Linked DNA regions of Elephas maximus indicus. The protein of the gene in region 1 interacts with the protein of each later gene in a biochemical or structural test. Links are inferred from orthologs where the notes say so. Each region holds a gene or a part of one and is shown on either strand. Other genes may lie near its edges. The genes, in order: SNTB1, DGKZ, SLC16A7 and GUCY1A2.

Region 1 (7,639 bases):
TTTGACGTGTTTTTAAAATAGGGTCTAACTTACCAACATATCGTTAAAAAAAGGATGAAACACATAGCCCCTTAGGAATAATGATTTAATATATACCATGAGATATAAAAAGACTAGCATATGGTTTGTTTCAATAACAGGCTGTTATAGACTAGATGTGAAAGAAATGGAATTCAAAAAGAGAAGGCAGAGGATAAACATCTAACTACTTGGGGCCACCATGAGTTGGAATCGACCCAATGGCAACCGTCAACAACAACAACTTGACTATTCTGCCTTGGCTTAGCCCTGCTCCCGCAAAAGTCCCCACTACAAAATTCTAAACACAGTGAGCCATGAAATAAATCCTCTCACCTGAATGACTGGCTGGTAGATAGTCTAGGCAATAGTCTTTCTAGTTTACCAAGGGCCCACCTGGGGAGTGGCAATGCAGAGTGCTTCCCAACCAATTGATGATGGACCTGTTGGCTGTCTGGGGCACATCAGAGAAGAAAACATCTGCTCAGCCTTCCATTCATGCATTGTTCCTCAGCCTTAGAACTTCACCTCTAAAATAAGAATCATTACCTCAGTATTATGATTTAGAATCTGGAGGGTGGTGATTTCCATATGCCTTTCACACTCAGCACACTCTCTGTGAACGTATCTGTCTTCCTGTCTTAATCGTGTTTGCATTCCTGGGTGCACCTGCTTCCAGCACCTACCTTAGTCCTTTACGAGAGTAACCTGTTGCCGTCAAGTCGGTTCCAACTCATAGCAACCCTATGGGACAGAGTAGAGCTGCCGCACAGACTGCGGCATCTTTCCCCTGAGGAGCAGCTCGTGGGTTTAAACTGCCAAGTTTTTAATTAGCAGCTGAGCGATTAACCACTGTGCCACCAGGGCTCCTGGTAAAGGTTTAGTCAACAGGTATTGACACAGGCAGGCCTTGCCTTAGGAGTTTTGCTTTCCAAGCATCCCTCCTGTTTTTTTCTCATGCTGTTCTCTAATTTACACCCAGCTATCCAAAAAAAAAAAAAAAGTACTCCATTTCCTCTTCTGCACTATTCACCTCGTATCCACTCTTCATACCATAGATTTGAAAAATCTCCCCTAAAGATGTTCGACCAACTCTTCATTCAAAAGTGCCAAAAGTACAATGATCATATTTTGCAAATCTAAGTACTGGAGGACATGTTCAAACCAGTAGAAGTTTACTTAAGGGCTAAGAGAAAGCAATATTTGAAGTCGGGACTGTCCCTGAAAATCCAGTGTGGTTGCTGAAGCTTGAAGGGAACAAGCAGATGGCCTGTGTGGTTATCCTACAAGGCGTTATCTATGTGATCTGGTCCAGCCCATCTCCTGATCTCCTCTCCTGCCTTCATCCTCCTCCCATGGGCTGTCCTAGCCAGTCTGACCTCCTTTTGGTCCTTTAAACCAGACAAGGGTGGTTCTGTCTCAGCTGCTTTGCATTGGGTCTTCCTTCTCCCTGGAAGCCTCTTCTCTGGATTTCCACCAGACTTCCTTCAGCTTGTGATTCATGTCTCAGTCCAATGGCACTTTCTCATAAAGGCTTTCCTGACAGCCATAGCCCCCAGGAGCCCTTGCCCCCAGTCACTCTCGATCCTGTTACTCTGTTTTAGTTTCTTCATGGCATTTACTTCTACACGGAAGTATTTTATGTATGCATCTACAGTCTGTTCCACTTCCACTCTACCACCCACCGCAACGTGAGCTTCGGGGAGCAGGTTGTTGCCCATTTGTCTGCTGCCAAATCCCAGCACCTAAAACAGTACCTGGGACATGTAGGTGCACAACAGGACTGTGGAATAAATGGGTGTAGACTGCTCCTTCTGCCACATGCTGCTGTTCTCTCATGCACCCTTGGCCCCCGTGAAGCTGAGGATTGTGTGACCTGCTCCTCAAGTCTAAGTCCACCCAAAACCTGTGAGAAAATGTCTGTCCCACAGAAAAAGGTATAGCAGGATCCTGGTTCTGGCTGGATGGAAAGGGAAGTCAAAAGCTTAGGACAGAAGAAGGACACAGAATAGGAAACAGGCCTAAGCAAAAACAAACCTGGTTTAAAAAAGGGGGACAAAGGTGATTCCAGGTATATTTTTTGGAATAGTGAAGTTGGAGTGGTAGTCAGGGTAACCCAGACCTAGGCTTAGCTTTGCCACAAACATACCATGTGGCCTTGAGTTGGTATTGCCCTCTCTCATCATATATGCACACCTTATAAAATGAGGGAGTTGAGGTCTCTTAAGTTCTTTACAGTGACCATTTTTTAAAAGGGAAGAGCATTGTTAGCTGCTGTTGAATCACCCTGACTCATGGTGACCCCTTGAACAATGGAATAAAACACTGCCCGGTCCTGCATCATCCCATTGATTGTTTGGGAATCGGACTATTGTGGACCATGAGGTTTTCATTGGCTGATTTTTTGGAAGTAGATCACCAAGCCTTTCTTCCTAGTCTGTCTCAGTTGAGAAACTCTGCTGACACCTGTTCAGCATCATAGCAACTTGCAAGCCTTCACTAACAGACAGGTGGTGGCTGTGCGTGAGGGGCGTGGGCTGGGAATTAAACCCAGGTCTCCTGCATGGATGGTGAGGATTCTACCACTGAACCACTAAGGCCTCACAAGAGAGTATAATCTGTCCTAAGTGTAAGTATCATGGGGCCACAGTGAAGCAGCCCCCCAAGAATTAAGAAATGAGGTAAATACTGTTTCCCTTTGAGAGTCGGTGTTAATAATCAGGGTCCAGATACGCAGAGTGGTCTGCAGGACAAGACATGGCCTCTAAGGCCAGAAGGACAGCAGTCGCCAGTATCAATGCATCAGCGTGTCTAAAAAAAAAAAAAGTGTCAATAACGTGTCCTCTAATATTGGAAAGAAGAGGTCATGGAAACTGCTGGCTCTACTCTTCCACATACTGCCTGGAGAAGGGGCTTTCACCCGTGGTGCTTTGTCCCCAGTGGAAAGGCTGGCCTTGTGTACAGATGGACATAAAGGCTGTAGCTGACATGTTCTGAGTATTTTCAAGAAACAGCGTAGGACAATGGTGAAGAGTCCAGACTCTGGAGTCAGACTGACTGGCTTTAAACCTTGGCTTGCACTTGCTACACGACAGGGACAAGTTGTTAAACCTCTCCATATCTTCACTGGCAAAATGGGAGTGATGAAGGTAATAAGTACCTCCTGGGGTTGCTGGGAGGATTAAGTAAGTTCATATAACTATACGTATTAAGTTAATATAACTACACATATTAAGTTAATATAACTATAATACTAAGTAAGTTAAAAAAAAAAAAAAAAAGTAAGTTAGTACTTATTAACTTATTTAATCCTCCCTGGAACTCCAGGAGGTACTTACTATCTTCAGCACCTTGAACAATGGCAAAGCCATCTCTGGCTAAGATGCATGTCTCAGGCCTAATTTATATTAAATAACAGACTCCCCTCATTCTGGTGCTACTTTCAATAAGCAACCTACCTCTTCCCATGCAGGTTTCCTTCCACAGGGGAAAAAAATGTGTTAATCATAGAGATGCTGAGGATTTCCCAACCCAGAGCCTGTAATTTCTCATGACAAATCAATAAATTATCTCTGCTTGTGCCTAGGCCTCCCACATTGCTTGTCCACAGGGAGCAGATGCAGACACGACGTTGACGGCAGCTTTCTGGTCCAGGGTCGGCTTTCTTTGGATTTCTAAATAAACACACTGGCATTCTAGTGCCTACTCCCATCTTCCCTTGCTTTGGTTAGAAGACAAGCGCTCAGGCTTTAATTTTCCCTGAACAGTGATGTGTATGAGTCCGAAGCTTCTACGGCAAACCCTAGCTGACTTTCCCCGGACAGTGGTACTGCCTACATCAGCTCCCTGCTGATCCTGCACACGGAGGGCTAAAGGGTCCTTGTGGCTGCTGTCCCTGCTGTAGGGGGCCTTTGCACGAAAGAATAAAGAGCCTTGGAAAACCAGCTGGTTAAAAAACTATAGAAAAGGTGGGAGCTCCAAGCAGAAGTAGCCATCCAAAGGCTCCTCCTTGTCAGTCTGCAGTGCTTCTCCCAGCTCAAAAAAAAAAAAGGTTCATTTTCTTCTGTGACCCTGCCTGCAACTCCATGCTTTAGAGATTCGTCTCAGTTTTAAGCATCCTTGATTAAAAGAGTAACTCTTGGAAGGGTCCGAGAACTTCCAATGATGCTGCTACACGTCAATGTGAACCTGTTCTATGAGGCTTCTTCCTCCTGACACCTTGCTTCACCGGGTTTAACCCTGAGGAACTCACCGAATTGCGAGTTATGTTTTGTTATTGCAGAGAGGGGAGAGAAATGTAGGAAGGGGAGATAAATAAGAAGTGTGGAACACTTTGACAGGCCCACGAGGCTTGCTTTGGGTGGGTGGAGAACCAGAGAGGTTCAAGGTCCTGTGGCCCCCCTGCCAGGAGGACATTGAGAGGTTGGCTATAACATGGGTTATGTTGGCTTTTCTGGATTGGCCTGGAAAGGTAACCAATAATTATAATATTGTTACTCTAGAAAGACAATGGTTTAGCTCCAAGCAAGTAACCTGTAAAGGAACTTTTGAGATACAACCCACTGCAACTGAGTTCTTAAACTGGGAGACTTCCTGTACTGGATCTTGGGAAGAAAGTGAAAGCTCCAGAAGGCATTTGGTGTGGCCCTGGGGGGAAAACACAGATCAGAAGCGCAGACCATTTAATGTGTTAGAGATGGACGAGCATTTCTCCTTGGAGTCTGGGGCAGGCAGTGACCTGCTGGAGCCCAGGCCAGCAGAGACTCCTCTCCAGAGGCCGGGTAAGAAAGATATCCCACATCTAAGGAGAGGAGGCGTAGGACGCTCGATTCTACTGACGTTTCACTCTGGGTTCTTGGAATAGCCTTCTCTCCTTACATTTTTTTCCTTACTCTCAGGGAGCCCAGGGCCTCGGTTTGCCTTCCTCCTGACTCCTTGAGGAGAGACGAGCCAGGTAAGAACTTAGCAGAGGAGGCAAGCCTCGGTTTGAGGAAGTCAGAGAGAGGAGACCGGTTCAGGTACACTTGGGGGAAGGAAAAAAAAACAAAAAACAAAACTAGGGGACAATTCCACATTGGTGTGAAAGGGAAGCGGGATCAGGAGGATGGAGTGAAAGTGCTCAGGCAAGACACACAGATCCGGCAAAGCTGCGAGGTGGGGGCCTGAGGAGAAGGGAGAGTTGAGGACGGAGGGCTGGGACCGGGCAGAGAGAAGTGGGACTGGGAAGGCGCGCGGGAAGCGGTCCTCGCCGTCACGCGGTCCGAAGGGGAGGCGGACCGAGTCGGAGCCGGCGGGCGACCGCTGAGCTGCGGCGCTGGAACAGGTGAGCGGCTGCCTGGCAGTCCCCGCCCTTCCGCGAGCGCGCCTCCTCCTGCCACTCTCCCCGCGCGCGCTTCACTGTGCCGCGGCGCCCCTGGGTTTGGGGTTTTGCAATTGAGAGCGGTTTTTTTCCCCCCGTCTCTTTCTCGCCTTCTTCGTTTAGAGGCTCCACCCCGCCCAGGATCAGGCGAGGGGAGTGAGCCCGGCTCCAGCTGCCAACTCGCGGAGCGCGTCTCCGAGCTCCCGGAGCGGAGTCCCGCGTCCCGCCTCCTGACCGCGGGCGCGCCCTCTGCGCTCCCCCAGGCCCAGAGTCCAGCCCCCGCCCCACCCTTCCCCACTTTTCCCCGCTTTGCAATCACATGGCATTTTAAGAATGCCGGAAAGATGGCGGTAGCGGCGGCGGCGGCGGCGGCGGTGACGACCGGGCCGGCGGGCGCGGGAAGCGGCCGGGCGCAGCGGAGCGGACTGCTGGAAGTTTTGGTGCGGGATCGCTGGCACAAAGTTCTGGTGAACTTGAGTGAGGACGCCCTGGTTCTGAGCTGCGAGGAGGGCGCGGCGGCATACAACGGCCCCGGGACCGCCACCAATGGCTCGTTCTGCAGGGGCGCCGGGCCCCCGGGCGCGGGCGGCGCGCAACCCCCGGACTCGCCAGCGGGGGTCCGCACTGCCTTCACCGACCTGCCCGAGCAGGTGCCCGAGGCTATATCGAACCAGAAGCGCGGCGTGAAGGTGCTGAAGCAAGAGTTGGGCGGACTGGGCATCAGCATCAAGGGGGGCAAGGAGAATAAGATGCCCATCCTCATCAGCAAGATCTTCAAGGGGCTGGCGGCGGACCAGACACAAGCTCTGTACGTGGGCGACGCCATCCTGTCGGTAAACGGAGCTGACCTGCGGGACGCCACCCACGACGAGGCGGTGCAGGCGCTGAAGCGCGCGGGCAAAGAGGTGTTGCTGGAAGGTAAGGGGTTAACACGGCGTGGGATGCGCCAGGCGCGCCCACACCCACCGGCACACTCACACCACCCACAGGCTCTCACATCCCGGGAGCATGGGGAGGACAGGTGGCCAGGAGTTTCGACAACTTTTACCCACCTGGGGGTAACTTCTCCAGCGCCTAGAGTGGTGACAGGCTTTGACCCAGTGGGTGTGTGTGAAAAGGCAAGGCTAGCAGGGTGTACTGAGCCCCGACTGCGTGTCACGCACGGGCTGAGTGCTTAGTGAACGCTGTCTCATTCTACCTGGGAATAATCCGAGTGTAGTGGAGAGGCTGGGAACTGGAACGGGAAGCGAAGGGTAGACTCAGACACATTCACCCATCCACGTAGCAAAGTGGGTCCAACTTTTCCGCTTTAACGAAAATTTCCCTCTTAGAAGCCTGGGTAACCCAACTGAAAGAGGTTGAATCATAAAGAGGCCAGAGAGAGGTGGCAACGTTAGAATGCTAAAATTCCAATCACTCTTCTCCCTGTCTCTCCTGCAAATTGGACACTGGGGTTATGCCTAGGGAGTTGTGCCAAGGGCTGAGGAATACGGCGCAGTTTTATGCACCAGTTCACTTGTCCTGCAGGGTGCCGGGCCGGTCAGTCTGGATTCCAGGTTGCTCTGGCTGGAGAAGTGGTTTTTTTTTCTGCCTGCATTTTCCCCGGCTTGTTTTGGAGTGGTGTGGAAACAACATTGCATTTCTAAATAGCTTCCCCGACTTGTTAGGCGCCTTAGAAACTTCTGTCATGAGATCAGAGGCTCCCAGTCCCCTAAGGATTGAATATGAATAGGATAGGAATAACAGTTTAATGTTTGTGGATATGTGGAAGAGAAGGGCAATAGGGTAGTAAACCCATAATTCATTTTCCTTCCCTTTGCAGATACATTGCTCATTTGGAATCTGGCTCTCTGCTCCTCGGCTCTTTGTACATACCTCCTCTGTCAGCACTAACCTTGTATTCTTTTAGTTCCTTACCCAGCCACCCCCTAATTTGAGATTGAGTTGTCTGGGGGTCTTTTATCTGTTCTGGGCCTCCCTTGAGCTTACGTGCTCACCAGCATGCGTGCTGAGTGAGTGAATAAATGAATGCCTAGCCACGGAAATAGAACATGTCAGCAGCGACTTTGTAAACTGGTGGTTGATTGAAGTCCTGAACCAAGGACATAAATCAATTTCCTGCTCACCTCGTGGCAGTGCTGGTGTGTGAAACTGAGAAAGTTCAAAGTAGGGAAACCAACTTTGCTACGAGTGACAGCCAGTGCAACTCCCTGGTACATGGTGGCCCACCTCCAGGCCTAGAATACAGAGCTTTTTTGTTTG
Region 2 (6,833 bases), on another chromosome or scaffold:
CCTCTCACTCACTCACTGTCTTGATTTCCTACTGAGGCTGTGGGTCTGAGCCATGCACAGTGCAGGGAGACCGAGGGAGAGGCGGACAGGGCCGAGGTGTCTGCATCCTTTCACTAGTGAGCAGTGGAGGCAGCCATGCCTGGGGAAGCTGTGTTGGATACTGCCTGGCTCTTGTCCCTGCCTGTTATGCTTCCCAGACCCTGCAGATGATAGGGACAAGGGCAGAGCAGTCTGAGCTCCAGGGCAGGAGAGCTGGAGGGCAGAGAACATGGCTCCCTCCTAAAATCCATATCATCATGGCTGGCATTTGCTGAGTCTGGCACTGTGTTAAGTCTGAGGAACAGAGAGGTAATCTACCCAAAGTCCACAGGGGTGGAGGCAATGTAGAACTTAAGTCCATCTGAGGGCAAAGCCTGCCCCCTGCACCCCAGAGATGGGACAGAGAGTAGGGTCTCTCCTCTTGGACCATGAGGAATGGAGTAGGGATGGGAATCGCAGTTAGAAAAATAACCACGCATTTACTGAACTCCTACTCTGTGAGAGGCTCTGGGCTGGGCACTTTATCATCTCACTGGAGCCCTACCATGACCCCGTAAGGCAGGTAGAACCAAGAGCTCTGTCACAGAGATGAGGACACTGAGGCCTGAAGCGGGCAATAGCATGCCTAAGGTCACAGGGCCAGCTGGGGGCAGAGCCAGGACCTGAGCCAGGTCTGTCTGGCTTGGTTCTGCTCCCTGGGCTGGCCAGGGTCAGGCCTGCCCAGGGGTCAGCTCTGCATCCAGGGAAGAGGAACCGGAAGGCCTGCCTGCCTACTTCTGCCAGGACACTGGCTGGCCAGCGCTCCTCCAGGGTGTCAGCTTTCTCCGCCTGTCTGGTCAGGCTGCCCTGTGACGGCTGCCCAGCCTGGAGATTAGTCACCCGGACACACCGCCTGATGCTAGTGTCACCCAGAAAACAAAAGGCCACAGTCAGTGTGGGGGAGGTGCCGTCGGTGCTCTATGGGTGGTGGGGAGGGCTGGGCCTCCCTGCTGTTCCAGACCCACACTGGCAAGGTGGCCAGGAGGAAGAGGGTTCCTGCACATACTCCCTCATGACACAGGTGGTAGCTTACAGATGCTGTCACAGTGTGCCACCCTGCATGCTGCCAGGGGGCCCAAGCCCACATCTGTCCAGGGCCTCCTTGGCTGCCCAAGGTGCAGTCACTCCCAGTGGACAGGGAGGCAGGTCAGGCCAGTGTTGTGTGACCATGTGGAAAGGTGTCCCCTCAGGGGCCTCAGTTTCCTTGTTTGTCTGGGGAGGCTGCTAGACTAGCTGATATGACAGTGTACGACCAGATCTCTGGCCAGGCCCTCAAGCCTCTGTGCTCTCAGATGTCCCCTCCCCCAGGCCTCATGCTTCCTGTTCCTCTGGTCTCCACAGAAACCTCTGTCCTCTGGTCAGTAATTGCCTGACTCCTGACTTCCTATCTCTACTGAAGCTTCTCCTGGGTCTGGTCACAGCCAGCCTGGCCTCAGGCCTCTCCTGGCCCTTCCCCTACCCAGGCTGGAGCTTTTTCCCCGAGCGCAGTTCCGAGCATAGCTTCTCCCCACCTCATCCTCTCTGTCACCTTCAACATACCACACAGTATGTGTAAAAGTTACTGGGGAGGCCCCACAGGGCTCCGACACCAATGGCCCAGCAAAATGGCTGCTCTTCAGTCTGCTGGTGGGGAGCCTGGGGAAGCCTGAGTGGATAGGATGGACAGGGTCTCAGGGGGCCCCATCAATGTCCAGCTGTTGTTGGGGGTCTGGAGAGGGCAGGGCCTGTGGGAGGACAAAGGACAGTGGTGCCTGGCCAAGCACTCCTGAAGAAGAATAGCAAGTGTGGCTGCAGGCAGCCGAGAGGGCATGAGTACCCTAGCTTTGTCAGCTACTAGCCAGGAAGCACAGGACCCCTCGCCCCCTGGTCCAGAGTGCCCTCACAAGCTATACTAGTTTCAAGTGCAAAAGCCCAAGGTCTTTGGAATCCTGCATCTGCCATTTACCATTGTGTTATCACGGGCAGATGAGCGAACCTTCCTAAATCTCAGTTTTCTCATCTGCAAAATGGGGATCATACCACCTAGTTTAGAGGGGTGGCATAAGGGGGGTTCTGATGAGATGATGGATGTAAGGTACCTGGCAGAGCAGGGGCAGGGCAGGGCCTATCACCTGCCACAGGCACCAGCACATGCGGATCACGCCATCCCCTGGAGTTTGTCTCTGCCCACTGCAGGGGTGGGAAACCAAGAAAGGGAAGCAGGAGCACCCAGGGTGGACACCACCCACCACATGAGGAACAGAGCCTGCAGCCAGTGCCACCTGGGTGTCTGTCTGCTCATGTGTGAGGAATGCCCACCTCCCCTGATACCAGGCCTAGGCCATGGATTCTTCCTGAGGAGCTGGCACAGGACAACCTGAGGGATTCCACAGAGTGCCCTCTCCCTGCTGTGGGCAGGGTCCCACTGCCTCTATGCTCACTGAATGGTGGGCGGTGGCCCCTTCCGGCAGCCCCAAAGGAAGGGCCTGGAGCTGCCTCCCCAGGAGGATGCTGGCCAGAAGCCATCTCGGGGGTCTCTGTTCTCACAGCCCCAGGGTCCTGCCGGACGGGAGGAGGCAGGTACAGCTGCAGGAGAAGCCTGCAGATCCCAGGCCAACCTGGGGGCCGCTGAGGCAGGGTCTCGGCTTCCCCAAGGCATCTACCCACTAAAGAGATGCTGCTAAGAACAGGACAGAGATGGGCAATGCGGGCGGTTGGGCCATGGCCACAGGGTCAGGCTAGGCAGGGGGTAGAGGAGGTGGCCAGGCCAGTTAATGTTTACCTCCCTGGCTTGGGAGCAGGAGCCTGACCTGCCCCTTGTCCTTTCCCTTTCCTTTTCCATCAGCTTCAGAAGCCTGGCACGGCAAGACCCTCACCTAAGGATGGTGGTTCCTGGGCCTACCCTGACCCACCCCTCCCCAGGCCCACCCCAGCAGATACAGGAGGGAGGAAGCAGAAGGGAAGGGAGGGAGGGGGAGCCCCTTTTGACCTGATCTGGAAGGCAGGGCGGCACGCAGGAGGTGGGCAAGCGGGTGGGGCTGTGGTCCCCAGGGTGGGCAAGCCCGGCTCTGCTCCCAATTGTGCTGCCGGCCTCTGGCTGAGCAAGTCCTAGTTTGGAGAGCAGCAAGCTGAGGTGGCTGCGCCTCTGCCCCCTCCCCCAGCCTGAGACAGCCGTTATGAAAATAACCCAGCTGGTAACCAACTGCACTTCCTCTCCCAGCGGCGGCTCCAGGCCCTGCAGCGGGTAGACAGCGGGTGGGCGGGCACAAGCAGCTCTGATTGTTCCTAAAGTCCCCAGAGCTGGGCTAAGTGACAGCGCAACAGCCTCCCCTCCACAAAAGGTCCAGGGCAGGAGACGCGGAGGCCAGGTGTGCAGCCCAGTGCCCAGCCACCTGCCGCCCTCTCATGTCCTCTGGACAGATTTCCTAGAGTCTCAGGAAAGCATCTGAGACAGCTAAGCACACCGGCTCCAGACAACCACAAAAATAAATACCGGTGGGGTGTTTTCACAACTCCAAAGCACTTTTTCACAACACAAGCATTATCAGACGGGAGGCTCATCATTCCCTGTGGGGGCAGTGTTACCTTTCCGGTGGAACAGATGAGGCACCTGACCTGGGGAGGCCTGTGACTGCCCAAGCTCAGAGGTGGCTGAGCTGGGACCCTGGAGCCTGGGTTGTCCGGCCCTGACAAGGGGGCCATTCCAAGCTGCCCCGACTCGTGCCACATGTGTATCACCTGCCTGGAATGCTACTCTCTGACTCACACTCCTGCCATGGCTCCCTAGGGTCCAGAGTGGCAGTTCCCAAACTTCCGGATCTTTGGATTTAAAAAAAAAAAAAACCACTTACCATCGAGTCAGTTCCAACTCATGGCGACCCTTTATGCTCTTGAAAATTTTTGAAGACCCTAAGGAGATTTTGTTTCTGTGGGTTATAGCTACTAATTTTACCATATGAGAAATTAAAACTGAGAACTGTTTAAGGTATTTATTAACTCATTTAAAAACAGTAATAAACCCATTACAGGTGAACATAACATACTTTTATGAAAAATAAACTATGTTTCCTAAAAAAAAAAAAAGATTAGTAAGAACAGTGGCATGGTTTCACGTTTCTGTAAATCTGTTTAACGTTTGGCTGAACAGAAGACATCTGGATTAGCGGAGCTGCTTCTGCATTCAACCTGCTGAGATGCTGTTTTGGTTGGAGTGTGAGAAGAAAAATTCTGCCTCACAGTGACATGGAGTCAGAAAATGGAAAAGCAGTTTAATAGCCTTTTCAGATAATTATGGATGCTCTTTTTTACAACTACACCAAAATGTGACAAATGGTAGTTTCTGAAAGTTGAGCTGCAATGTGGACTCTGAAACCCTATCAAGGAACTTTTCATGGCTCATTCTCGCACCCTGAATTCTGCAACATCAAGCACTGGTCAGTGGAAAATACGGTTTACTTAGAGTTCGGCAGATCTGCCAATGTTGGCACGTTTCATTCTATGACACAAAAAATCATACCTACTAGCACCACTACTGATCTCATCAGAAGAGTCTTTAAGCCCTGGGAAGCTGTCAGGCTCTAGAAAGTGAATGCAAGGTTTCTAAAATTCAGATTCATGCTCAAAGGCTCAAATTTTATCATTGGTACTGACAGTTTTGGAAGTGACAAGCTCACCTCATTCATTACCGAGAAAACGTCTGCCGAATACCCAGGTCTGAATAGTTTGTCTATCAGGTGTTCTTGCAAGTGAAGATGGTGTTCCTTTAAAAATAAAAAATTTTAAAAAAGGAGCTAGAACAGCTTGTAACACAAACAACCGCACAGGGCTTTTACTTAAGGCAGCCGTCACGGATAGTCTGCAGCAGGAGGCCTTTATGGGGACATTCACATGTCTTCGTACAGACTACTACAAACACAGTATTCTGCCATCACGACTTTCTACAGTTAATTCTTACTGCTTTTCTTCTTTCAAGTGCAAGTGCATGGAGAGAAGAATACAGTGACTGCCAACACGCTGGGGCCACTGCCTTGCTTTGTGTTAGGGTTCCAGCGGTTTCACCCACCATTATTTTTACACCATCAGTACAAAAACGTTAACACAGGCAAATAACATCTCATGGAGAAAGCTGTGGCAGTCTGCTTCCGTAAAGATTTACAGCCTCGGAAACCCTATGGGGCAGTTCTTCTCTGTCCTATAGGGCTACTATGAGTCAGAATCAATTGGACAGCAATGGGTTTTTGGGTTTATTGTTATGAAAACTGTTTTTAATTTTTTTAGTAATTTTTACTGAGCTTTAAGTGACCATTTACAAATCAAGACAATCTGTCACGTATAAGCTTATATACACCTTACTCCATACTCCCACTTACTCTCCCCCTAATGAGTCAGCCCTTCCAGTCTCTCCTTTCGTGACAATTTTGCCAGTTTCTAACCCTCTCTCCCCTCCCATCTCCCCTCCAGACAGGAGATGCCAACACAGTCTCAAGTGTCCACCTGATATAAGTAGCTCACTTCTCATCAGCATCTCTCTCCAACTCACTGTCCAGTCCCTTCCATGTCTGATGAGTTGTCTTCGGGAATGGTTCCTGTCCGGGGCCAACAGAAGGTTTGGGGACCATGACCGCCGGGATTCCTCTAGTCTCAGTCAGACCATTAAGTCTGGTCTTTTTATGAGAATTTGGGGTCTGCATCTCACTGCTCTCCTGCTCCCTCAGGGGTTCTCTATTGTGCTCCCTGTCAGGGCAGTCATCGGTTGTGGCCGGGCACCATCTAGTTCTTCTGGTCTCAGGATGATATAAGTGAAAACTGTTTTAACCTCACCAATCCTCTGAAAGTATCTAGGGCACTTCCAGGACCACAGGTTCACTGTGAATTCTAAGCCCTTCAGCCCGGCAAATGGTTTCCGCAGTTGTGGCACTAGTTTAGCCTATGATGCCTTGCCATAAACCTTTGGCTCTGACCAAGCCAATCAGTTCGCTGTCCTCCAGTCTGGCTGTGCGGAGCTCATGGCTTGTGCCCCTGCACATGGCTACCTTCTGCCCAGAACGCTGGCTGGGACTCCCTTCCCACCTCGTGTCAAAATCCCACTTGCTCACAACTGTCCCGGCCAAGAAGGCATCGCACCCACTGATAACCCCACACTACCCATTTGGCTCCTCTGCTGCTGGACCCTTAGACACTCTGATTCTTTCAAATCCACACTTCTCCTGGGGGGTGTGGGGCCAGGCTTAGTGCATCTGGTCCACCCAGCACAGTGCCTGACATTGAGTCCAGTCTTTACCACTGCAGAAGCAGCACAAAAGGAATGCACAGGGAATTTGGAGGGGCAGGGGCCGAAGCCGTCAAGGAAGACAAGGGCTTCCTATCTCAAGTACTGCACCCAAGGGCTGACCATAGGAGCAGGCTGGCCCAGGCCACTTCTTGTTGTTGGGCTCGAGGAGATCGCACCAGCTATCTTCCTCTCCTCTCCAGGGGCCCCATGAGGGACAGCTGGAGGCCCTTTTTGGGGCTAGGTGCCACTGCCCACTCCATGCTCTCCATGGCCTTCCTTATGACACCTAACAGCAGGATATGGTGACACGAAGTCACAGTGTGTGGGTGGTGGGCAAGTAGGGGACGAGGGGTTGCCTCAGAGGCTTGGGGGCTGAGCCAGGGACCCTAACTCTGAGCTCCTTGATGGAACACCCCCAGTCTCTTTCTTCATGTCCTGAGGCCCCTGGTAGGCCCTAGAGAAAGGTTTGTAGAATGAACGACTGCCTCCTTCCTTCAACGCCTCC
Region 3 (7,419 bases), on another chromosome or scaffold:
TCCCTTGGTACTATATTTAGTCACCATCGACTCAATCAACAAAATTCGTTGAAAATTAAATACTTATAAGTCACTGTTTAAAGGATCTCTGTCTGAAAAGTTTCTAGTTTATGATGAGAATTCTTAATCTAAGTTTTTAATCTTATGTTTCAGAATAATTAGCATATTCAGAAGAAGGCATATATAAGACATTCGTACTTATGGCCCGTAAAGTTACTTCACGGGTAGTATTAAATAAAATGTAAAATTAGGAAGACATGAGTGGACAACAGTTTAAATGCAGATCCCATTAAGAGATTTTCAGAGGCCCCAAACTAATTTATTTTGGTAAAACACCGCTCTATACTATTTTACTGAAAGGCACGCCATACAGCAATGTTCAACACAGTTGCAGCCCATTTCCCATGCTTTGTAAAATCGACCAGATTTGCATTTCCTGTAATTTTATAAGAGGCTTCCATAGAAATTCCAAAGTAGCCTCTATGGATGTGCTCAGTACTTCTGTAATAATAACCTAGAAGCAGTAGAAAGACTTCTTCCATACTTTGTACCTTCTATCAAGCCAGGCCACAGCAATCATATTCGCAGCTGCTAGCCAGCTGCAATCTTGGTCACAGTATGCTGCTGCTGGATGGCAGGTGCTCGTTTGTTTTCACTCAGGCCGCAGGGAATATTGGGACATTTGATCTTTGTCCTTGGTTAAAACCAATCTTTTGTGTGTATTCTACACACACACACACACACACACACACACTTTGCTCTCACAGAGTCTTGCCATGAAAAGGTTGTTATATGAATTTTGGGTGGTGGGAATGTATTTTTAGTTTTGACTTAAGAACACAGAGCAGTCTCCTAAGCTCGATATTTAAATGGGTCTTTATGCTTTATAAATCTTATTTATAAGCATACTTTTATGCCTTAGGATTTGTGATTTTACTAAGTAACATCTTATTGGTCAGAATAGGCTAGGCTATATTCTGGTGCAGTTCCACTCTGCATACATGGGGTCGCCAAGAGTGGGAGTCGACGGCGACTAACATATTCTGGTGATAAATAATGCCTGAAATCTCAGTGGTTTAAATCTATGATGGTTTCGCACTCACACAATGTCCAGTGCAAGTCTACTGTCTATCTTTAGAATTGTAGAGGGCAGATCATGGATATCATGAGCACCAACAGTCTCTGTCACGTACCTGTTGCCTAAGGTCACACGGTCATCTCTTTCCTCCATTCAGCAAGAATTACTGATGACCTTCTATCTACAAGAATTTGTGTTCGGTACTGGAGGATATAGACATGAGTAAAATGTCATCTCTATCCTCAAACAGCCAAGTGGTTGGGGAGACAGTTAAATAAAACTTATTATAATACAACCATAACTTGAGGCAGAAAGAAAATATGCCCCCCAAAAGCATAAACCATGTTCTATGGGAAGGAGCACAGAGTAAAATGGAATTACTCCTAATTGAGGGAATCCTTGAAAAGCTGCAGAGATGTTGACATTATTTGCCGGGCTTTAAAAAGGGTGGGGAAAAGCTTAGACAAGTTTGATATGGAGGAGAAGGAGGAGAGTAAGAAAAGACAGAGAAATGTGAGAAGACATAGCGTAGCTAAAACACAAAGAAGGGACAGAGAATCTAGAATAAGAGCCCGTGGTATAAAGTGACAGATGAGTCTATAACCAAAACAGTCAAAGACATTTGGGTTTTATTAGTTTATATATTATATACGTGTTTACTAGCTTACTTGTGGAATGTGAGTTGCCAGAATATTGAATATGTTACTATTCTTTGTTTCCCTCATTGTTAATTCATCTTATGAATAGCAATCAAGGCAAAACCAAGCATTCTACCAAAGCATTTCAAATTCTGATCATAGGGTTTGCTTTTTCCCCTAACTGAATTTTTGTTTTTTCAATTCTCAAACAATATTAAGGCTATAAGTCACAGGATAAAGTGATTGGATTTATTCCCACCTACTTCGCCTTTCAGATTCCTTTCTACTCCAACCAAATATTTACAAAGCATGACTTACCGTAGCAACAAGGCGATTGAAAAATAAGTCCCGAAATACTAACTCTGGGCCAGCAGGCAAATTGGATCCAGATTTTTAATTGTCGGAAAAAGAAGACTTAAAAAGAAAACTTGCTAAGGCTATGATACTGTGATATGGGTACTGCTGTTTGGGAGTGGAGCAAGAGGTTAACTGGGTCCAAAACTATGGAGCTATAAAAAACTGAACAGAAAAGAAAAAGCAAAGAGAAGGAAAGGGAGAAAGGGTCAAAATTCAGAAAATAGATGGTTTTTCTTCTTCCCCCTCTTCTTCAAAAGAAATAAACAAAGTGAACGGGCAGGAAATTAGTGAATAGTAAATGTTCAAGAACATGATCTTGAAACCTACGTCTTTTTGTTGTTTGTTTTGAAAGTTTAAGGGGTGTGGCTTGACGTTCTTTTTTGTCATGGAAATTCAGGGTTTCCATTCCGGCACTATCAAACGCCTATTATGTCATATATAAACTCTATTTACTCCTTTTTTTTTAGCATAAGAAAAATTAAAGTCCTTTCTAGAATCTTCTGCCTTAGCTCCTTAGTTTCCAAATTACCCCTCTCTCTGTAAAACTCTCTTCCAAACTATTTGAAAGTATTAATGGCCACCATTTATTCATCTTGTATTATGTGCTGGACACTTCACATATATCATCTCACTTAAATCATAACAGCAACAAAAAGCTGATATTATTTCTATTTTGTAACTAGAGAAACTGAAATTCAAGATTTGTCCGAGCCCACAAATGATCTGTGGCAGAAGATCTTGTAACAATTTGGTCAAGTGACTTCTTTGATGTCAATTTTATAAATTGTGAATAATCACAGTATGCATTTAATGAGTATTATTATTAATTTATTTTTTTTATTAGATAATCCACATAAGTGCTTAGAAAGTGATTAAAAAAAAAAAGGGAAAACAAAACAAAACCAATTGCCATGGAGTTGATTCGGACTTATGGTGACGCCATGTGTGTCAGTAGTAGAATTGTGTTGCACAAGTTTTCAGAGGCTGATTTTTCTGAAGTAGATAGCCAGGTCCTTCTTATGAGGCATCTCTGGGTGGACTCAAACTGCCAAGTGCTTAACCATTTCCTCCACTCAGGAGCCCTGATAATGATAAGCACTTAATAAATCAGTGTAATAATTATTGCTACCATTTTGATTCTGAGTCCCTTAGGTTTCAAAGTTCAGGTTATTTTCGCTCAATTGCCTTGGCTTCACATAAAAGATTTAAGTTTTAGAAAAAACCCTACAAACTTCGAGTGAGTTATATTAGTATCTAGGATTAACATACCATTTTACCTTTTTCATTTTTTAGGAGGATGAATGGGTGGGGGAAGGAAAATTGGCAGAAAAACTGCAATAGTTCTGGAATCCAAGCCCACATTTATTCTTAAGAAGAGTTCCTTTTTCTACAAATAACAATTCAGCCTTAAAAACAGTCATAAGGGTCCAACCTTTTAGAGTTACCCAAATGTTCGTTTCCAGCCCTTCCTCTTTTCCAACTTCCCCAGGAAACATACAGGCACGGGAGAAAAAAAAATTTATATATATACACACACATACACACACACACATATATGTATAAAGGGGAAAGAAACCAAACCAATGACTGCGGAATTACTATTATCCCTAGCACTATTGATTGTCAAATAGCTAGCTCTATTTTGAGGAATTAAATATTTGGGATCCTAAAAATTAATTATTTACAAATGGCCTCCCTCCACTTCTTTGCTATTTTTAAGCTTTTATGGTTTCCTATACTCTTCTGATCTTGCGGTACATTTTCTTTTTCTCTTGAATGAATTGGTTGGTGAGCCTAATCCCCTACTTCTCCTTACTTAAAAAACAAAACAAAAACCCTCAATTAAAATACGTCCCAACACTTTCCCTCCAAGCTCACAATGAGGATCTTTTCGCCGCCAAACACACTTCCAGGCTTTTCTGCAATTGCAAGCTTTCGTCTCCTACAGGTGGCACGTCTCCCTAGGGTATCTAAAACGGAGCTACCTCACCGCTGGCTCCGACGTTAGGCTCGAGATAAAGCGTGTCACGAGCTATGAGGAACAGGAGATCTCTCTACCTGTCTCTGGCTTTCTCTCTTGGTCACAACTAAAATCCGAAGTGGAGCGCCCCGAGCCATAAAGTGTCTGTAGCGGTGACAGCCACTTGGAGCATGCTCAGTCCACCCTGAGTCACTGAGGGGCGGCTTCCTCCCCCGACGGTTGGTGGGGCTCCTGCAAAGCCAGTAGCGTTCTCCCCCAACCCCCATCCATTCCCCCTGGCGCGCGCTCCACGGCACCCACAAGGGCGTTCGTCAGCCGCGCCTCCCCTCCCCGCCCCCTCCTCTTCCTCCTCCTCCTCCTCCAGCTACGGCCGGCGAGGAGACGTCAAGGGACATAAATAAATAAATAATTCCATTCACCCGGTGACAGCGAGGCGAACCGGCTGCGGCTGGGCTGGGGGACCCGAGAGCTGCAGCGCCCATCCTATGCCAGAGACCGAGTAAAGTAAGTACACCGGGAAGGAAGGGAGGAGGAGGCAGGAGGCGCCCGCGCAGAGGAAGGCGAGCGTGGGACTGCGACCGGAGCCGCCCGGGAAGCCTCGCGCGTGTGTAAAAATAATGGCCAGCCTGCGACAAACGCGCCAACGCCAAGTTTGCCAGCGAGCCCTTATATAGACAAAAAGCCCGAAGCTGCCGCCGGAGGAGAGCTAGCGACAGCAGCGCCGACAGCGACGTGGGAGCTGCGGGGGCGTAGCCGGGCGCGGGCGCTCCCTGGTCTCGGCGGTGTGCCCTTGGGGGGTCCCGGGCGGAGAGGAGTCCCGCGCGCCTGCGTGTTTCTGACCAGGAGATGTCCCCCTCTCTGTGCGTGGCCGGAGACTGCCGGCGCGGTGCGCCCCCCCATCCTTGGCCCGTGAGACTGGAGGCTGTTTCCCGTTCTGCGTGCCCCCAGCGCGCGCTTCACCAGCATCCCGCCCCGGCCCACGTGCAACCCGGGATAGCGTCCTGGCAGCAGAAGCTTGGGACGTGGGTGGTTAGAGGTGTAAGGGTTGTCTTCTCTTCAGCTGACCTCAGCTGTTGGGGCGGCTCGGATAGGCTGGGAGGAGAGAAGCTATCAGGGAGGCATCTTTCTTCCTTTTCGGATCCCGGAAGGCAAGGAGGGGGCGGAGGCGGAGGCGGATGGAAAGGTGTGTGGGGGCCAGGAGGGCGCCGGGACAGACGGGGCACGCTGCCATAGAAGCAGCTAAAGAGGGCCTACGTCTGCAGGGCCCGTGCCGGTCTTCCCCGGCGCAGCGCAGCGCAGCGCAGGGGGCATCAGGCCCGGCCAGGTGGCGCGATAGGCTGGCGAGGGCGCTCACGTGTGAACTGCCTCTCAGCAGATGCTGCGGCGTAACTGCGCGCTCCGATTCCTTCTCTTTGCTATTTCCGCGAAAAGGATTGCGGACTGCCTTGGCAAGGGCGGTGGAAGCCAAGGCCACTTTCCTGGTAGGGCTGGGAAGGAAATTTTGTAGTTCTACTCCAGGGAAATTAACAGTAAACATACACACACCCAGCACAGGAGAGGGAACGAGGAGCGGTTTCTCTGCAAGTGTTTTATTGACTACCCTTCCTGGAGAAGTAGAACTGGGCTTGTTACTTGAGGGCGCGTTGGTGGCACTGGGAAAACTAATATTTCAAGTCATCTCCCCTTCCTGGGCCCCGTATTTTTTTTTTTTTTTTTCCCCTTCCTGGGCCCCGTAGGAGACTCAGCGGGTAAATGATGAGGCAATGAGAAAAAGATTGAGCCGGAGAAAATCGTGAGCATTAGTTCCCCTTTCCTGGCACTCGACGCTTTATGGTTAATCCCAAAGTGAGCTCAGAAGGTCGCAAACTTAGCTGCTGCGTTAGATTCAATGTGCTGTGTCATTGAAACCACAAGTACTAAGTGTGCATTTGGGAAGTGTGGCTGAGAAATCAGAACTGGGTGGCAGTTCCAGAGGGCAGATGAGGGTTGAACAAGGTGACCCTTGCTGAAATAATCCTAGCTCAGCTTTCTGCTTGTGAGCACATTACATTAAAACCAATCTAAGTGAGGGGGCATCTGAGTAATGTCAGTGAAAGGGAAGATATTTTTTACCTTAAGCAACTCAGTGTATTGTGTAACAACTCATCAAGTTGGAAACATTTCTTTGCAAATATTCACAGCCAGAGTTTGCAGTTCTGTACTGTTTTTTTTCCACAAGAGGAAATTGAAGTGATCTGAAATTTTAACACCCTTTTCTGTGTTGAAATTGGTGCATCTCTCTGTAAATGCTCAGTTTATTTCTAGACATGCATTTACTTCCTTTTTTTAAAAAAATAATATCTGCCTTATATTTTTGGCCTCCAGCTCTCCTGAAGGGAAGGAGGGTATAGTGATCTAAGGAAATGTCCTGTGTCCAGAATATATTCCTGGATCAAGGATCTGAAAGGGGAAGAAGTCTCCTAAATTTGCTTTTAATTCTGCATTCATACACCAAACATTTTTTGAGGAGTGGAAAAAGATGATTACCTTTAGAGTTGTCAGATCTAGACTTCAGACTTGGTTCTGCACATTTGTATGATTGAGTAATTCTCACAATGTCAGCTTCAGTTTTCATATTCATAAATGGGATTGATGGTACTTACCCTGAAGTGGTACTGTGAGGGATAAAATAATGTGTGTGGAAAACACCTGGAGTACAGACTAGCTATCTCTGAGCTCTTGAAATCATTCCAGACACTGCACTGAGGTTTTAAAAAGAATAAGGTTGGAATTCTGCTGTCTGGAAATTCACATCTAGTCATTCAGGTTAACCTTCCTTATACCTCATTTGCTTTTCAGTCAGTTTCCTTCTCTTCTCCATGGAAGAGGCATATATCCCAAATAATTTGAAAGAAGTTTAGCAGTTGTAAGAAATGCTTGTAGGATCCGCTAAAAAGCAGATTTGGGAAGGGTTGCACCTTGCCCCAGAAATCTGTGTAATCAGCCCCATATTTTGCCCATTGAAAGTGACCCTATATAACAGATAATGAAGGATTTTCTTTGTGCAGTGGAGGGAGGAACTCCTCCTCTGAAGATCATCTTTGCCAAGGAACGGAGAAAAGAAACTGAGCTGCAACTTCTTCTCAACTTTAGACAGACTAATCCACTCACTTCTAGAAGCCTGAGAGTATTAAAAAACAAACAAACAAAAACAAACCTGTTGCTGTTGAGTCGATTCCAACTCATAGCGACCCTGTAGGACAGAGTAGAACTGCCCCATAGAGTTTCCAGGGAGCGCCTGGTGGAGTCAAACTGCCAGCCTTTTTGGTTAGCAGCTGTAGCTCTTAACTGCTATGCCCCCAGGGTTTCCAAGAGTATATAGCGAC
Region 4 (6,995 bases), on another chromosome or scaffold:
AGGAACACAGAGAAAAGAGTTCATTGCTTTGAAATCTAACTCTCTGTTTTCTTTGTGACACGAAGTCTACTGGTGACACCAGTGGCCAATGAGACTCTATTCAGACATGCACTACAATGTGGAAAATGTTTATACTATGTTCCCACCTGTAGGTTCCCAGCATTTCACCTGACAGACTCTTTTCAAAATAGAAATAAATTGGGGCATGTAAAGTACATGGGAGCTGTTGCATGTGTTTGATCATTGCAATTATTTTGAAATTTTTTACTCTGGAAATTATTAACTGATATATGTTTTTGATCCACCAAAAAGTCCAAGTCATTTGACTATTATTTATAAAGGTATCACACAGAGACCATTTCCTCCCTCTTAGTCTTCAGTAAAGGAGCCTGTTGGCGCAATGGTTAAGCGCTGGGCAGCTAATCAAAAGGTTGGAGATTGCAGCCGCTCCGCAGTAGAGAGATTTAACAGTCTGTTCCCATAAAGATTACAGCCTTGGAAATCCTATGGGGCAGTTCTACTCTGTCCTATAGTGTCGCTATGAGTTGGAATCAACTCAACCGCCATGGGGTTTTTTTTTTTTTTTTTTGGTATTCAGCAATAAATATCTGAGTTAGGCTTATTTGCTCTCATCCTCATCTAAGTTGTTGAAATTAGTCATAAGTTAAATTGGTATGGCCAGAGGCACCACTGTTACTTTTTGCAAATTTGTAAATTCTGATTCTTAGGCAAAAAGAAAACTTCAGTATTATTTTAAAATTCAGAAAAACCTAATAATCATCTTTAGTAAAATCACTGTATCAAATTTGAACCAAATATACTGAAGGAGGAGCCCTGGTGGTGTAGTGGTTAAGAGTTCAGCTGCCAACCAAAAGGTCGGCAGTTCAAATCCACCAGCTGTTCCTTGGAAACCCTATAGGCAGTTCTACTCTGTCCTATCAGGTCGCTATAAGTCAGAATGGACTCAACAGCACCTAACGACAGCAACATACTAAAGGATGAGTATCCCAAACTGCACAAATGCTGCTTTAGGTACAGACACAAAACTACAGCTGCACAAAGGGACTGGACTCCTTTTATAAAGGCTTATGTTCAATAATATGCAACACTAAATAGCTCCTAAGATTATGCTTCCTGGGAAATATTTGCAGTGAAGAAAAGCAAATAGTAGTCAACCCCTCCTGAGCTTTGTTTCCTAGGTTATCAATAAGGAAGGTAAATTAAAGGGAAAAACACACAAGAGGAAGATGACCCAAAGAGTAATTTCTCTAGTCAAGAAAATGCCCTTCTCCATTAGTGCAAGGGCCTAAACATTTTAGGACTACCTGGCACTAGGCAGAATCCTTCAGGATCCCACTCCTCTTCCATTCCTCCTACCATCTGCAAGAGTAGTTTTAAAAGGAAAACACAAAAGCAGTCAAACAAGATCAATGTTCAGGTTCATACCGGTAACTTTGAGGAAGTAAAAGCCTCAGGGTAGGCAAGTGAGAGTGCTGTCAGGAGTTAAAAGTCCTTGTAGCCAACCAAGGTCAAGGTGAGGATAAGTGGAGGATGGAAGTCTGACACTGAACAGAGAAAAGGAAGAGTGCAGGCAGGCAACATTTCCTTCTCCTTCAATTCCGTCTACACTAGAGTGGATTCTTGAAAACAGAGCTCACTCAGACAGGGAAAGACCAAAACAAGAGGTCTGGGATCCTGCAAACGGTAAAAGTCAAGGGTTGCTGAAAATGTCTGAGCAGGAATGAGGCAATATTGTTCTGGAAGGATGCCTAGAACCAGAGGGAGTCTGGTGTTCACCTGGAATTGCCGATACAGACATCCCTTAATGAGCACAAGTTTCAAGAGGTCCAGGAAGGCATGTATTCATTCAACAAATATTTGTGAAAGGAAGTCATGAAAGAAGGAGAGAAGGGAGCATGAAGGATGAAGTATGGATGCAAGAAATACCAGAGAGACTTAGAAAACCAGGCACCTAGTTTACACAGAGAAGGTGTAGCCAGTAAATGCCCAGTGAGTAGGACAAAAAGCTATGGGGTGGAGAGAAAAAGAGAGATTAGAGGTGTCTTCACGAGAAGGCAACTTAGAAAAGTATCTGACAGAGTTCCTGAAGATCTGAGAAAAGGGATGCAACGCTGAATGCATATAGCCTGTGGGATTCAAAGATGCCAGACAAGGTCATGCTAAGACCAAGAGAGTGTGGGAAAAAAGACAGGAAGGGTTTCCCGGAAGGAGCTGGAGCTCCTTCGGGATGCTGGAAAAGGGATGCGAGACATGTAAATGGAAACTGCGGAACAGAGACTGGGAAAGTTTGGGAGAAAGAAAACAGGTGGGTGTAAAGGTGCGGCAGGGGCTGAATGGGGTGACAGCGAGGAAGGACAGCTTAAAACCGGAGGTGGTCAGGCAGGCCCTCGGATCAGGAGACCCCAAAGAGTGCAGTCCTACTCCTTTCCCGTCCTCTAACCCCCCACCCCACCAGAGCCCAGGGGTTCGGGTCCCGCCCGGGGCCGCCAGTAACCGTAGGCCGGGCGGGGCGAAGCCGGGCCGCCCCCCAGCGGTGGGCTCTGCGCACGCCCCGGCTCGCCCTGCGCCAACTTTGCCCGGCCTGTCCTCTCCCCGGGAGCGCGGGCCCTCCTTCCGCCCCTGCTCACCGAGGGCGCCGTCAGGCGGCTGATGCTCTCGCCCAGCGAGTCTAGGTTGACCCGCCTCCGGCGCTGCGCCCTCCTGGCCCCGGCCGTGGCGGCGGCGGCGGCGGCGGCGGAGGCGGCCGGGGCCGGGGCGGCGGCGGCGGCGGCACGAGGCTCCGGCGGCCCGGGCGGGCTCCGGCTGCCGTTCCAGCAGAGCCTAGACAGGGGGCAGTCCCCCTCCTCCTCCGGGCTGGTCTCCAGGTAGTCGGAGCCCAGCGAGCTGAAGGACTCGGACGAAATCTTCCTCCGAGACATGCTGCGGGCGGCGCTGCGGCGGCCGAGGCGGCGGCGGCGGCGGGGACGCGGGCGGCGGCGGTAGCGGGACCGGCGAGCGGCGGCGTTAAGCGCGTCGGGGCCACGGGGCGCTGCGGTCGCGCTCGGTTGGGCGGGCGTCCCCAGGGCCGCGGAGCCCCCCGAGCCGACTGCTCATGGCGGGAACGGGGGGGAGCCGCCGCACCTTGGGGCCCGGGCGCGGTGGCCGCGCCGGGCTGGGCTGGGGGCCGCCGCCGCCTCTGCTGCTGCTCGCGCGGCGCCGCCTCAGCGCCCGCCTCGGCGCATCACCGTGCGCCGCGCTCCCGCTCGGGGAGGCTTCGCGTGAGACCGCAAGCGGCGGGGCGGGGAGGCTGCGGCCGGCGCGGACGGCGAAGCCGAGGCTTTTGCTGCCTGCGCGCCTATCTCGCCCCCCTTCCCTCTCTCTACCCGCCCCTCTCCTCCCGCCTCCCTCCTTCTCTCTTTATCCCCCCCCCCATGCTCTCCCTCCGCCGGTATCACGTGTCGCCATCATACTCATTGGGAGTCTCTGCCTCGCCTGTCGCCACGTTTCAGGAGCTATGAGGACACTTCGTTGCCGTCCTCTGCGCGCCCTCCTGCTCCCACCATCCCCTAGCTCTGAGGAAGAGAACACCGTGGCTCCGACCCGACCGAGGGGTCCAGCCCCAAACACCCTATACCCCAGGCCGGGAGAGGCAACCGGGGTGCAGACGGGCCCCGGCGGGCACTGGAGGGGAGAGGGGCGCGGGGCCGGTAGCGGGGACCTCCCTCTGGAGACACCTCGGAGACGCGTGAGGACACGAAGTGGGGGATTAGGGTCCATGTTTGTCCTTTTCCCGCCTTCCTCCGAGTTTAATTGGAAAGTTCCGATGCGGAGGGGAAAAACTGAGCGGTCCAGCCCGCCGATTCCACAGGACACGCTCCAGTGGAAGGGAAGGGCAGGGGCAACATATTGGCGCCCATCCGGCTGGAGCAGCTCTTGGGAACACGACTCTTTTGCGTTCCCTGTCTCGAGCGAGGCCTCGTGGGCGCGCAGGGAGCTCAGGGCGGGAGACAGTGAGTGAGGGAAGGGTCTGCTCCGAAGGAGCCCTGTTGCTGAGCCTCAGCCTGGCGGGCGCGCTGGGCGCCTGGCTCCCGCCGGTGGCTGGTGGGCTCCGCACTAGTGCTGGACAGCTCCCCTTGCCACCTGCAGCCGCGTTCGCTGACGTCTCGGGCAGAGGCGCTCGCGCAGTTTCGCTACAGGCTCCACTACCTAGGACCGGGCCCGGGGGGAGGCCAGGGAGTGATGCCCGGTCCCTAGTCTGCTGGGCTCTTGGCGCCAAATATGCGATTCGTTTGCACTGGGCTACAAATGCTGCTCAAAATGCAAGAGTGGAGAGAGGGGAAAGGCTTTTCAAAGCTCAGCAACAGACACACCACAGCGCGAGCACACCTCTGGCCGCCAGTTTGCCGCGGAGCTGCTTTATTCCAAAGCTTGCTTCTTTGCAAACCAGCAGTCGCTCCCAGCGTCTGGCTCCACTGCGCTTGCTTTAGCCCCAGAAGAGCCTTGGTCGTTCTGCCCTTAGGGTAAGGAGTAGAAAGAAGGGGCCAAATAAGAGTGTCTCAAAAGAGGAGTCTAGGCTGCGCTTCCCTCTGTGGCAAAAAAGATGAGCGTCCTCCATCTTTCAGCGTCCCCCGCCTTTCCCTGCCGCCCGGAAGAAAAGTTCAGTGGCTCTGACTTCAGCTTCCCAGACACACAGAGGCCAATGCGCTTTCTAAAATGCTGGTCCTTCTAGGTGAAGACAGATGGGTTTGCGGGTTGCATTTATAAAAAAGAGAAAAAGCAAAACAAAAAAAAATGATGTGCATTCTTTCTATTTTGCTTTTAACTCTAAATGTTCCCATTGTTTATGAGGACCCAGATAAATGAGAATGTTTCAAGTTTTTTTTTTTTTCATATACTTTGAAAAAGTCCACTCAGCCTTATTCAGAGACGTATCTTATTCCCAGATCTTAGATGGAAGTAAAAGATGTTAAAAGTGTGTACTATCGAACACATTCTTCCCTTCAAAAAAAAAAAAAAATTCTTCAGCCTGTTGATTAAGTTGCTAACTGCATAGCTAGTTTCTCAGCAGAGGAAATTCAGAACAGGAGGGGTTTTTTTTTAACATTTTAATTGTTCTTAGGTGAAAATTTAATTTAGACATAAATTGTTCTGACATTGATTGCAGTCCCTGCAATGTGTTAGCACTCACCCCCCTTCCACCCCAGTTCCTCATCTCCATTCCTCTGGTTTTCCTGCCACTTCCTGCCTTCCCAGCCTTACTTTGGAGCAGGTGTTGCCCTTTTGGTCACCTGTACTTGATTGTTCCTTGCAGGCGTTATTGTTTGTTTTATAGACTTGTGTAATATTTGGTTAAAAGGTGGAATCCATGAGTGGCTTCAGTTCTGAATTAGAAGGGTGTCTAGGGGCCATAGTCTTGGGGGGTTCCTGTCAGACCAGTAAGTTTGGTCTTTTTTTGTAAATTTGAATTTTGTTCTACATTTTTCTCCTGGTCTGTCCATGACCCTCTATTGTGATCCTGGTCAGAGCTGTCAGTGGTGGTAGCTGGGCACCATATAGTGCTTCTGGTATGAGGCTAGTGGAGGCTGTCGTTTATGTGCTCCATTAGTCCTTTGGACTAATTGCTTCCTGGCTTTCTTCATTCACCTTTGCTCTGGTCAAGATGAGACCAATAGTTGTATCTTAGATGGCTGCTTGTAAGCTTTTAAGACCTCAGACACTACTCACCAAAGCAGGAGGTAGAACATTCTTTTCATGAACTGTGCTATGCCAACTGACCTAGGTGTCCCCAAAGACCAGGTCCCCTAGCAGGAGGGCTCTCTTTTAAAATAAATGTGTGGCGTATCTACTTGAGATTTCTCCATTACTTCATTCTATTTGTTTCCATGGCAATTATGCACAAATTACACTTTTTTTAAGTAAAGACTAGGCATCAAGCATCAATCCTGCTAAAAACTTTGACTGGCTTTTTTTTTTTTTCTGAATTAGAATGGATGGTTTCTTTGAAAATTATATTATTCCAGCTTTGGGGAAACTGTTTAATATTCTTGTTGTGCAGTATCAATGACAGGATAAAAATCGGAGTTCCTAGTTCTCTTATTTAGTTATGATAATTTAATTGCCAAGTTCTCTAGAATCATAGAATCTTAGAGCTATTATTAAGGATATTAAATAGCATATCCCCTTCACATTCTTTCAACAAACTACTGTTGTGCATATACACACATACAAAATTCTAATTATGGTAATGGCAAGTAACTTTTTCATTGACCTTGGAACAGGAACTTTTTCCTAATCATTCTAACTCTTGTCTCAAAGTCAAATTACTGAGTGCAAGGCAATGAGTGTCATTTGTTCCTAAAATTTACAAGAGGCTCAAGCAGTCTTCCTGTTTATACTGAACATTTATTGCCAGAAAGAACTCTGAACTTAGGAGGAATTTTTTCCTTTGTGTAAACCATTTGAATCAAAGACTTTAGAGAATCTAGCCAGATGAAGTGGTCTTACAATTTTCTGTATGAATTACCCTGCCTTTGATCATGATTTTCCCACTGCTTTTGCAAACTATAAACAGAGGCCTAGATGTAGACAGTATATCATCTGCATTGCTTTTAAGGGCTTCCTTTGTATTCCTGTTCAGTGGCAGAGTTCAAAAGCTCTCAATATGAGGAATGCTGTCTACTATACTTGAATTAACATTTTTAAAAGGCAGCATAACCTAGTCTCCATCAAAAAAAAAAAAAAAAAGTTCTAGAGCTGGTAAAAGGAGTCCAAACACTTTAGGCAAAGAGTAGTCCATTGAAAATGAATAGCCTGCGTTCTGATTTTAGGAAACCAAGCTCACACAAACTCATGCCCACAAATCTGGCCCTGTTAGATATATGGTGTTACAATGAAGTCCTTAACATACAGTCTTCTCTTGGAAAAGGAAAATGCAAGAATGTACTTGGTTTGTTGGTACAGTTGGTGAGGACACCCGAGGACTCACTTCAGGTCCT

The links.
Region 2: the proteins of SNTB1 (region 1) and DGKZ form a complex in vitro, tested with the Homo sapiens proteins (2 studies listed by BioGRID and IntAct, with this or other methods). The link is inferred for Elephas maximus indicus from reciprocal best matches to the Homo sapiens genes SNTB1 and DGKZ.
Region 3: the proteins of SNTB1 (region 1) and SLC16A7 interact in a test that uses a peptide from one of them, tested with the Homo sapiens proteins (2 studies listed by IntAct, with this or other methods). The link is inferred for Elephas maximus indicus from reciprocal best matches to the Homo sapiens genes SNTB1 and SLC16A7.
Region 4: the proteins of SNTB1 (region 1) and GUCY1A2 interact in a test that uses a peptide from one of them, tested with the Homo sapiens proteins (2 studies listed by IntAct, with this or other methods). The link is inferred for Elephas maximus indicus from reciprocal best matches to the Homo sapiens genes SNTB1 and GUCY1A2.

What each region holds. Positions count from the first base shown.
Region 1 is NC_064833.1:21,924,155-21,931,793, forward strand, and holds the start of SNTB1 (beta-1-syntrophin), read left to right. Parts: upstream 1-4,634; 5' UTR 4,635-4,799; intron 4,800-4,916; 5' UTR 4,917-4,972; intron 4,973-5,375; exon of another isoform or gene 5,376-5,500; 5' UTR 5,501-5,721; coding exon 5,722-6,295; intron 6,296-7,639. UniProt on the Homo sapiens protein: Adapter protein that binds to and probably organizes the subcellular localization of a variety of membrane proteins. May link various receptors to the actin cytoskeleton and the dystrophin glycoprotein complex.
Region 2 is NC_064825.1:101,845,802-101,852,634, reverse strand, and holds the start of DGKZ (diacylglycerol kinase zeta), read right to left. Parts: upstream 3,006-6,833; 5' UTR 2,211-3,005; coding exon 2,157-2,210; intron 1-2,156. UniProt on the Homo sapiens protein: Diacylglycerol kinase that converts diacylglycerol/DAG into phosphatidic acid/phosphatidate/PA and regulates the respective levels of these two bioactive lipids.
Region 3 is NC_064822.1:119,685,467-119,692,885, forward strand, and holds the start of SLC16A7 (monocarboxylate transporter 2), read left to right. Parts: upstream 1-4,415; 5' UTR 4,416-4,558; intron 4,559-7,419. UniProt on the Homo sapiens protein: Proton-coupled monocarboxylate symporter. Catalyzes the rapid transport across the plasma membrane of monocarboxylates such as L-lactate, pyruvate and ketone bodies, acetoacetate, beta-hydroxybutyrate and acetate.
Region 4 is NC_064825.1:12,795,937-12,802,931, reverse strand, and holds the start of GUCY1A2 (guanylate cyclase soluble subunit alpha-2), read right to left. Parts: upstream 3,004-6,995; 5' UTR 2,940-3,003; coding exon 2,649-2,939; intron 1-2,648. UniProt on the Homo sapiens protein: Has guanylyl cyclase on binding to the beta-1 subunit. Isoform 2 acts as a negative regulator of guanylyl cyclase activity as it forms non-functional heterodimers with the beta subunits.